Arabidopsis thaliana: one gene and its partner. The protein of the gene in region 1 purifies or fractionates together with the protein of each later gene. This does not show direct contact. Each region holds a gene or a part of one and is shown on either strand. Other genes may lie near its edges.

Evidence for each region.
Region 2: the proteins of AT4G31480 (region 1) and AT2G34840 fractionate together in Arabidopsis thaliana (co-fractionation; one large-scale study listed by BioGRID). This does not show direct contact.

The regions. Positions count from the first base shown.
Region 1 is NC_003075.7:15,261,466-15,268,405, forward strand, and holds AT4G31480 (Coatomer, beta subunit), read left to right. Parts: upstream 1-1,688; 5' UTR 1,689-2,610; coding exon 2,611-4,725; intron 4,726-4,952; coding exon 4,953-5,462; intron 5,463-5,554; coding exon 5,555-5,640; intron 5,641-5,714; coding exon 5,715-5,919; 3' UTR 5,920-5,920; intron 5,921-6,003; 3' UTR 6,004-6,426; downstream 6,427-6,940. Other genes in the region: AT4G31470 (CAP (Cysteine-rich secretory proteins, Antigen 5, and Pathogenesis-related 1 protein) superfamily protein), read right to left, coding at 281-838. UniProt on the Arabidopsis thaliana protein: The coatomer is a cytosolic protein complex that binds to dilysine motifs and reversibly associates with Golgi non-clathrin-coated vesicles, which further mediate biosynthetic protein transport from the ER, via the Golgi up to the trans Golgi network.
Region 2 is NC_003071.7:14,700,605-14,704,923, forward strand, and holds AT2G34840 (Coatomer epsilon subunit), read left to right. Parts: upstream 1-1,883; 5' UTR 1,884-1,998; coding exon 1,999-2,172; exon of another isoform or gene 2,173-2,264; coding exon 2,265-2,354; intron 2,355-2,437; coding exon 2,438-2,589; intron 2,590-2,682; coding exon 2,683-2,818; intron 2,819-2,907; coding exon 2,908-3,063; intron 3,064-3,226; coding exon 3,227-3,306; intron 3,307-3,467; coding exon 3,468-3,561; 3' UTR 3,562-3,767; downstream 3,768-4,319. Other genes in the region: MEE25 (NAD(P)-binding Rossmann-fold superfamily protein), read right to left, coding at 4,188-4,319. UniProt on the Arabidopsis thaliana protein: The coatomer is a cytosolic protein complex that binds to dilysine motifs and reversibly associates with Golgi non-clathrin-coated vesicles, which further mediate biosynthetic protein transport from the ER, via the Golgi up to the trans Golgi network.

The sequences.
Region 1 (6,940 bases):
GAAACACAATCAAACCGGCCAAACATTGTTTTTTTTACGGCAACAAAGATATATCAAAACACAAATTGCAACACTAAAAATCATGTGTTTTATTGGTGCCTTATATAACAAATGAAACCTTACCCGAAAGGTTTAGCATATATGACATCCAGACAAGAGAAAACGTAATTCATCATTTTCGTTATCTAACATACAAGAATCAAAACAAGATTTCACATTAACAAAGATAAAGTGTACATAGTTGAGGAAAATAAAGGTAAAGATAAAGTGTAGACAATATTCAAAAGGGTGGTTGTCCAACAATGTTACCAGGAGGATCATAGTTACAAATAATAAATGTGTCACCGGTCTTGCAAAAACTGATTGCACACCCAATCCTCGAACTCTTCTTCCATACAAGTTGCGTGTAATGCAAACAATCCCCATTCGCCTTGCAGTGGGAAGTCCTCCGGTCATAGTATTTCATCTCCGAGGCCCATGCAGCCACCGCATCCCGTGGAGTCCAACCTTTTCCGCTTCCCCAGAAGAGATTCTCCCCGTAAGGTCCCCCGGAGTGGATAAGTTTGCAATCTCCACGGCGGGTTCTGGCCCACCGGCTCGCATAGAGGGCGAGGCTATTGCTCCATTTGAGAGGAGGGAGACGAAGCTTGGCTCGTAAGATGTTGTGTGGTCGGAGAAACTGCTGCTGAATGGTGTTGCGGGCTAGAGCTTTGTCTTGAGAAAAAATTAGTGTTGATGTTGTCGGTGTTCTGTTTGATGGGATTTGAAAAGAGAGAGAAGGAAGTGGAGTGCTGATAACTATGATAATGATGATGAATATCAGAGTTTTTTGTTCCATTGGGATGCTAAGTTAGATTTGTTTCTGAGCCTCTAGATCTAGCTAGTACGATCCTTACCATATATATATACACACACACACATAATTGTTTATGCTTTCATATTTGTACGTATATATCATCTAACGAATCTAAACACATGCTATGTTAATAATGCGCAATGACAAGTGCTAATCATTTCGGTGGAACATTGATTATTTGTAGGGAATGATTTTATTCAAACAAAGCATACATTATTGAGCTAATTAATAGATCATTATATATGAAGGAAGTTTTAATAGGATGTTTTCTTTTTTTCTTGTAAGAAGAGACTTTATCATAGCAACGAGAATATATCCCAAGCATAAAACATTATATACAAACTCATTCAAATGAAAACCTAAGTTAGATATTTAATTTGACCACTCTTAAAATACTTGTTTAGTTATAACATGTTTACTATGCAGATTTATGAGGCGTATCAGATGGTGTGCTAGAGAACGTGATACAAATTTGGATGCCTTGTTTTCAAGAAATCTTATACATTCCTTGGAGATCAATTTGTATTGTGAGGCTTATAGTCATTGAGCTTACCGTTGATTAACTAAATTTATATTATATAGAACATCAAATAGACGAAAAAAATCAATTTAGTTGACCACCGTTTGTTAGCTAGGTTATAAACTCTGACCCAAAGTGTCCTATGCTTTCAGTATTCAGTTTATTTTATAACGTGTGGGGTCGTTTTGGAAACAATTAAAACAATAGGGGCTATATTTTTCTCAAGTTCTGTTGGACTGGGCTTGTCGTTAATCAATATTTGGGCTTTTGAGGTTGACTCGCTTTTTTCCGTTCTTCGTTTTCCAAAATCAAACCCAAAAGGATTTGGAGGAGTTAATTCACCTGACGAATCCACCACCATAATATTAAGCACATTTGATCTCTCACTTCCTTGGTGCGAGTGTTTTGTTTTCCGAGATCCAAAATCTTCTCTTGGATCCAAAGCTGTGTTACTGTGGATCTCCTCCTCCTCTCTCCCTGGATCTCGTACCTTTGAGGTTTGTCTCTCTGTGTTAAACTTGCGACTCAGATTTCATAGAGATCGATCCCACTTTTGCCTTTTCCTTTGTGAAAATCTACAATGTTCAATTATTCTCTGGCGCTCTTTGTTTGATCTCGTTGAATATTGATCTGATTCCGGTAGGAAACCGATTTTCATGTTTGTGCAGCTGAGTGAGACTGCGAATTATGTAGATTTCATTGTTTGTTCATCTAATCTGGGGAGATAGATCGCATTTTTTTTTTTTTTGAATTTTGGTTGATCCGAAGCTGTTTTAACTGATTTTTCGTTTTTATGTTATTATTTTGGTCGTAGTTGTAGTACAGTGATGTGTATTGCTGGATCTGAGGATTTAGATTTGTCAATGTTTTGCATCTTTGGGTCTCTGATTGGACATTACCGAATATTCTTCTGAAATTATGATGTTTTCTCATAAACCACGGATTCGAGAATAGAGATCATGTATTCAATGTATTGAAATCCAAGCAGAGAGGTATGGATTATCGCCGATGATACTGTTGAACTTCTTGTATAGAACTTACTCTAGCACTGATGAGGACACTAGTAAGGTGCTTATATTCAGTAATTCGAACTTGAAATCGCCAGAAATATTAAAAGTTTTGATATCTTGTTTTTACTTGTGATCTATACTTCATTATGTCTTTAATCAATTGTAACAATTTTGCTCTATTCATCTTCTATTTCTTATATTAACAAAGGAACACTTGTTCGTGAATGGTTTTTCCTTTTCATTTGAGCTCACAGATTTTTTTCTCTTTCACTTTTTGTGCAGCACCGGAGAAGATGGACAAATCTAGTACCATGCTTGTTCACTATGACAAAGGGACTCCAGCAGTTGCTAATGAGATTAAAGAAGCTCTCGAAGGAAATGATGTTGAAGCTAAAGTTGATGCCATGAAGAAGGCAATTATGCTTTTGCTGAATGGTGAAACCATTCCTCAGCTTTTCATAACCATTATAAGATATGTGCTACCTTCTGAGGACCACACAATCCAAAAGCTTCTGTTGCTGTACCTGGAGCTGATTGAAAAGACTGATTCTAAGGGGAAGGTGTTACCTGAAATGATTTTGATATGCCAGAATCTTCGTAATAACCTTCAGCATCCTAATGAGTACATCCGTGGAGTGACACTGAGGTTTCTCTGCCGGATGAAGGAGACTGAAATTGTGGAGCCTTTAACTCCATCAGTGTTACAAAATCTGGAGCATCGCCATCCATTTGTTCGCAGGAATGCCATTCTGGCCATCATGTCGATATATAAGCTTCCACAAGGCGACCAACTCTTTGTGGATGCGCCTGAAATGATCGAGAAAGTTCTATCAACCGAACAAGATCCTTCTGCCAAGAGAAATGCATTTCTAATGCTCTTTACCTGTGCTGAAGAACGTGCAGTGAATTATCTTCTGAGCAATGTTGACAAGGTTTCAGACTGGAATGAATCACTTCAGATGGTGGTGCTGGAGTTGATTCGAAGTGTGTGTAAGACTAAACCAGCAGAGAAGGGGAAATATATTAAGATTATTATTTCTCTGTTAAGTGCTACTTCTTCTGCAGTTATCTATGAATGTGCTGGGACACTTGTTTCTCTCTCATCTGCCCCTACTGCGATTCGGGCTGCTGCCAACACCTACTGCCAACTTCTTCTTTCTCAGAGTGACAACAATGTGAAGCTTATTTTACTCGATCGGTTGTATGAGCTTAAGACATTGCACAGAGATATCATGGTTGAGTTGATAATAGATGTGCTCAGAGCACTCTCAAGCCCAAACCTTGATATCCGCAGGAAGACGCTTGACATTTCCCTTGACTTGATTACCCATCATAATATCAATGAGGTCGTTCAAATGTTGAAGAAAGAAGTTGTGAAGACACAGAGTGGAGAACTTGAGAAGAATGGGGAGTACAGACAAATGCTTATTCAAGCCATCCACGCTTGTGCAGTGAAGTTCCCCGAAGTTGCAAGCACAGTGGTCCACCTTCTGATGGACTTCTTGGGAGATAGCAATGTGGCTTCAGCTCTTGACGTGGTTGTTTTTGTTAGAGAGATAATAGAAACAAATCCCAAGTTAAGAGTTTCAATCATCACAAGGTTATTGGACACGTTCTATCAGATCCGAGCAGGAAAGGTCTGCCCTTGTGCCCTTTGGATAATTGGGGAGTATTGCCTATCACTTTCGGAAGTTGAGAGTGGCATTTCAACTATCACGCAATGCCTTGGCGAATTACCATTTTACTCTGTTTCTGAGGAGTCTGAGCCAACTGAGACATCAAAGAAGATTCAGCCTACCTCTTCTGCCATGGTGTCCTCTAGAAAGCCAGTGATTCTTGCTGATGGAACTTATGCTACCCAAAGCGCAGCCTCTGAAACCACATTCTCCTCACCTACAGTTGTTCAAGGATCACTGACTTCTGGAAATTTGAGAGCACTGCTACTAACTGGTGATTTTTTCCTCGGAGCAGTGGTTGCTTGCACGTTGACCAAACTTGTTCTTAGGTTAGAAGAGGTTCAGTCTTCTAAAACTGAAGTAAATAAGACAGTCACACAGGCTTTGTTGATCATGGTTTCTATGTTGCAACTTGGGCAATCTCCTGTTTCTCCACACCCTATTGATAATGATTCGTATGAGAGGATTGTGTTGTGCATAAAATTGCTTTGCCATAGGAATGATGAGATGAAAAAGATATGGTTAGAATCCTGCCGCCAGAGTTTTGTCAAGATGATTTCTGAAAAACAGCTTAGAGAGATGGAGGAACTGAAGGCGAAGACCCAAACAACGCATGCTCAACCTGATGATCTAATTGACTTCTTCCATCTAAAGAGTCGGAAGGTATTATTACTTCCTAAGCTTCCCTTTGCTTTATTGGGTTTTTTTTTCCATATGAGTTTTCCTTTTCAATCTGTTCAGTTCTGTTACGTTGGTGTCTACTTTTTCTTACAGTTCATATCCAATTTTTTTTTTCGCATTCTCAAAGAAAGTTCGAAAGTTGATAGTGGCATGTTATGTTTATTTATTTCGGTCAGTAGTTGAAATTACTGACGATAAGTTTCTTTCAGGGAATGAGTCAACTTGAGTTGGAAGACCAAGTACAAGATGACCTAAAGCGTGCAACTGGAGAATTCACCAAGGACGAGAACGATGCTAACAAACTTAACCGCATTCTTCAACTCACAGGATTCAGTGACCCAGTCTATGCTGAAGCATATGTGACGGTACACCATTATGATATTGCTCTTGAAGTTACAGTAATCAACCGAACCAAGGAAACCCTTCAGAACTTGTGCTTGGAGTTAGCAACCATGGGTGATCTCAAACTTGTTGAGCGTCCTCAGAACTACAGTCTGGCACCTGAAAGAAGCATGCAGATTAAAGCAAACATCAAGGTGTCGTCCACAGAGACGGGAGTCATATTCGGGAACATCGTCTATGAGACATCAAATGTAATGGAGCGAAACGTCGTTGTTCTTAATGACATACACATTGATATCATGGACTATATCTCCCCTGCTGTGTGTTCAGAGGTTGCTTTCAGAACTATGTGGGCAGAGTTCGAATGGGAAAACAAGGTAATTTATTGAAACCTTTTATAGTTGTACCTTCTTTTCGTATGTTTGTTGGAGTTTGGTATAACCAATTCCTGTTGTATTCTTTATGTCAGGTTGCTGTGAACACCACAATACAAAACGAAAGAGAATTCCTCGACCACATTATCAAATCTACAAACATGAAATGTCTCACTGCTCCGTAAGTGTAAATTCTTCTTTCATCCTGTAGAAACGAAAAACTCTTCTTACTAATTAATACTTCTTTACTTGCAGATCCGCAATAGAAGGCGAATGTGGATTCCTTGCAGCAAACTTATACGCAAAAAGTGTATTTGGTGAGGATGCTCTTGTGAATGTGAGTATTGAGAAGCAAACGGATGGAGCATTGAGTGGTTACATAAGGATAAGGAGCAAGACGCAAGGGATTGCCCTAAGTCTTGGGGACAAAATCACCCTCAAACAAAAGGGTAGTAGCTGAGGTTAGCTAATCTTTTCAAAACATATTCTATTTCTCGATTAATACATGTTTTAATCCTTAAACCGCAATTGGTCTAAATTTCAGTACCATACCGATGATTTCTCACAGTGGCGTGCAAAGGTAACAGGTTTAGACTACGTACGTTTCTCTTGAGCAATTATCGTTGGTTGAATCTGCTTATTATATGGAGGGAGGAGGCGTTCAAGGGTATATGTAAAAAGAGTAATTGGCTATCGTTCTTACTTAACCGGTATATTTTCTGGTATGGTACCGATGGATTTCTTCATCTCATATGGCAGTGTGTTTTTTACTGTACTAGACGATTTTGTTTTATTTGTAATGCTTTTTCTTCTATAATGTCGTTTGTTGAGGACTTTAAACCGTGAACTTTATGATATTGTAGATTTCAAAGCTACATTTGGTTTGCTCCATTTTAGAACTCGTCATTTCAGATTTGATCTCTATTCTTTTCTTTCATATGCATTTGAAGTGAACTATTCAATTGTCAAAGCTAGACTTTAATTTGCTAGTAGCTATATAATACGGGTTATGTTAGCAAGTAAGTTGTAATGAAACGCATGTATTAATATGGACCATATTCAAAATCTACAAGCCAAAGAAACCAATTGCTTCACAACCAAACCCATAACATTTGATTCTTACAGCCTTTTCTATTCTCAAGAAAACCAAGCAATAATTTTTAAGCAAAATTTAATAATCTTAAATCACTTGCCTCAAGGTACCAAGGGACGATCACATACACATTCGCGTAACTAGATATCGCTAACATCATTAGACAAGAAAATACTAGACGCGAGTAGAAGAGGAAAGATCCAAATACATCATCTTCTATCATAAAATCATCCATCTCTAACCGAAAGTTGGAGCACGTTTCAAGGAAAAACTGACATAATTCCTAATTACGCTCACTTTTAAAAGTTTGGGGTCGTTTTGGAAACAATAAAAAAGTAGGGGCTATGCTTTCTCAACTTCTATTGGACTGGGCTTGTCAACAATCAAT
Region 2 (4,319 bases), on another chromosome or scaffold:
GTTGATGAACGGATTCTATAAAAATAGTAATATTTAATATCTGTTATCCAGTCAGATATATTTAAAACAATATAAGAATTTAAATTGACAAAGAAAGATAAATCTGATTAACCACGGAATATGTGTGTTTAGATTGGTAACGTATGATTAGACACATCAATGCTATTTAAAAGATGCATATGATGATAACTTTTAGAAGTGAGAAGGCCTTTGGATTATTAGGGATTACAAATAGTAAACTTATTATAGATTACTTGAGAAAAGAGATTCATTAAAACAAAATTTGCATAAAGTAAGAACCAAACTAGAGGAGCTTATTCCAAGAAGATGCATTTTACATTTAAAAGGTGCATGTAATTAATGTCTGATAACCATAACTCATTAATTATTCTAATTCAGCTAAAAGCGAGCCTAAACCCATTACACAGAGAATTGCACGAATCACAAGTACACAAATTGATAGAACATTTAGACTTTAGAGGTTGATATTTTTTGATAAACTATAGTATTGATTTATGTTATTAATTGGGTTGTGTAGCACGAGGACTTCTTTGAACATGTGAAATGAATATTGACTTTACGTAAAATCGACCATGCCCTTTAAGTGTTCCTCAAGTTCATACAAAAACAACAGTCATACTCTTATATGTATATTATAACATGATTTAAATTTGAACTATGTTTATTTAACTATATCCTATATATAATTATTACGATTGAGAGATGAGAAAGTTTGTTACAGATGAAGAAGAAGATATTTTCCCCTTAAATTTCTGTAAATGTATTTTGTACAAGTATATATACGATGACAATACAACCGGTTAATATAACCCGCGTAATACAAAATCAATTAAACCGATAAATTAAATCAACACTCTCTGATATGACCCCTCAATATGAGGATTCGAAAATGTTGAGAATGCTCATCTTGGACTTTAGATGTTCAAACTGATGTGAGAACAAATGTTTAGCAAAATATCAGCTATTTGATCATCCGTGGGAACATGAAGCAGTTTAAGCTCACCATCATCCAACTTGTCACGCACGGTATGGCAGTCAATCTCAATATATTTCGTGCTCTCATGGAAGATATAATTGATTGCAATATAGATAACATCTGTACTGTCTGAAAACAAGATAAGAATCGAAGTAGTATCCGTTTAAGATACGAGCAATGTATGCAACCAAACCAACTCACAAGTAGCAAGAGCTAATGCTCAGTATCTAGAAATAACATGTTGCTTCTTAGATCGACATGAGATGATTTATGAAGAAATTTGAGCTTTGATGGCTCTAATACCATATTACGATCGAGAGATAAGAAAGTTTGTTACAGATGAAGAAGAAGATATTTTCTGATTAAATTTCCGTAAATGTATTTTGTACAAGTATATATACAATGACTATTCAACCGATTAACATCACCGTAATACAAAATCATCTAGACCGATAAAACTAACCTAACACATTCTGATAATAACAAATATGAATTTATTGATTTTCTTTTAATTAAGAATAGCTCGTTCAACCAAATGTTGACATCTTTTTTTTTTTTGAACACTACCAAATGTAGACATCTAGTACACTAATTCAACCATGTCTGTCGTCTAATACTATTTCGAGTAGTGTGTGATATGCTTAATATATAAAAAAAACTTGTTCACGTTTCTGATTTTAAAACATAGACTGACCAAAAGCTCACAACACACAACTAGATATAAAGCCCAGGAGTCAAACAAAGAACCTGATTCGTTATTTTGCCGCACAAGGCCCAAATCAAATTAGTGATGTTACTTGAACAGTTCAAAAAGAACTGGGATTATTATGCATTCAGTTTATAACTTAAGGGGTTATTATGTTATTAACCCGTTTACTTTCGTTTGGATTTTGGAATTAGACGCGAAGCTGTGAAATCTAGAAGAAGAAGAAGAAGAAGAAGAAGAAGAAGAAGAAGAAGAAGAAGAAGAAGAAGAAGAAGAAGAAGAAGAAGAAGAAGCAATGTCAGCCATGGGAGCAGGACCAGATCACCTCTTCAACCTCAGAAACAATTTCTATTTGGGAGCTTATCAAACGGCGATCAACAACAGCGAGATCGCCAACCTCTCGCCGGAAAACGCCGTGGAACGTGACTGTCTCGTCTTCCGATCTTACATCGCCCTCGGTAGCTATCAGGTTACTTCTCTAATCATATCGATAATGTCTTCTTCTTTAGATTCGATTACGTTTTGTTTTGATCTGTTCTTCCAAATTTTGGTGTGTATAAGCTTGTTATCAGTGAGATCGATGAATCAGCCGCTACTCCACTACAAGCAGTCAAACTCCTCGCTATGTATCTATCGACTCCTCAAAATAAGGTAATTACGGCTTTGATTCGTGTTCACGAAACATGTTGTAAAGAGATTCAAATGCTTATATGGAACGATTGTTATTGGTTCAGGAATCAACAATTTCAAGCTTGAAGGAATGGTTAGCAGATTCAACAATAGGAAACAATGATACATTACGATTGATTGCTGGTATTATTTTCATGCATGAAGAAGATTATAATGAAACTTTGAAGCATACTCATGCTGGAGGAACTATGGATTTGTAAGATTTTTTCGATTTTTATTTGGTGGATTGAGTATTTATACTGTGTTTTAAAACATGTTCTTAGATGGCTCATTGCTATTGTTTTTCTAGGTATGCCTTGAATGTTCAGATATTCATTAAGATGCATAGAGCAGAGTATGCTGAGAAGCAGCTTAGAGTGATGCAACAGATTGATGAAGACCACACTCTCACTCAACTTGCTAGCGCTTGGTTGAACCTGGCAGTGGTATAATGCGAAATATTCAATGTGTTCTGGCTTATTCTTTCAAAGAGTTGTGTATTTGCTTCTTATGCTAAGGCGTTATTTGATTTCAGGGCGGTTCGAAGATACAGGAAGCTTATCTCATTTTCGAGGATTTTTCTGAGAAGTACCCAATGACATGCTTGATCTTGAATGGCAAAGCTGTTTGCTGTATGCAAATGGGTAACTTCGATGAAGCTGAAACACTACTTCTTGAAGCACTCAACAAGGTAACTACAAATTAGGCTTGTGTACCTTAAATTTGCTCTGTACATTAGCATTCTCGGGAACAATATGAAACTAGGGACCTCTCTAAATTTCTCACACTGCACTTGTCTCTTGGCTTTTCTGTATATGGGGAAGTGTGTTTATACTAATTTGTGGTGATTGCAGGATGCTAAAGATCCAGAAACTCTTGCAAATCTTGTTGTGTGCAGTCTTCATGTCGGGAAGTCTTCTTCACGCCACCTAAGGTAAATTTTCATTATCTACTCTTATATTAGGCATCATTTGCCCAATCAATCAGTAGAACTCACTGAAAAGTTAATCGAGAGTAACTGTGTCCTTAATCCTAATAAAAACATTGGTCGGTCTCGTTTGTTAACTTCATTTGTATCACCTATCCTTCTTGCAGCCAGCTAAAACTTTCACACCCGGAACACATACTTGTGAAGCGTGTATCATCAGCTGAAGATAACTTCGAGAGAGCAGTTCAATTGGTCGCCTAAAGACTCTTCCATGGTTCAAGCTAAAAGACGTGCAGGATTTGTTTGCTTTACCGCATATTTTCACCGGGTTGGTAAATCTACCAGAACAACCATACTGTCTTGTCTTTTCGAAACCAGTATATGAACCAGCTTTTGCCATTAGATATGTTAAGTTACATTTCATTACTTGAAAATATCAAATTCCACCTCTCGCACTCTCAATTCCGTTTGTCATTTACTTAATTTCGAACCTAACCAATCCAGATCGTGTAACTCAACCCGAAACCTTGAGTGAATTCAACCGATCGTTTGAATCCAAACTAGAAATACCAAAACAAACAAAAGCTTCTCACTTGGAAATACTTCAATTTTTTTCCAACCAATGATTTTCACTTTTTACACAAAGAAGCGACATATGTCTTCCGTTAGGATTTTGATAAACCTCAATCACAATAAAATAGGTGATTGACATGGATGATATTTTATTAATCAATAATCTCATATATAATCTCTATATATGGATAAGATGAATACTATTCTACTAAGAATAAATCCATCTTCTTCTACTACCTTCACTACCATCTAGAATCAAGACTCTAATGAAGGAGTCCTTGAAGGGCAATGCTCACATACCTAATGCATAATGGTCAGTATGCAGAAACCAAGGAAGAAGATCCATAGCCACTGCGATGAAGCTTTTGCCATCTCCATGCCATCTTTAAACTTTCTTGAAGATTGGTGTGCTTAGCTGTCCAATTCAGCTCTTCTTTGATTTTTCT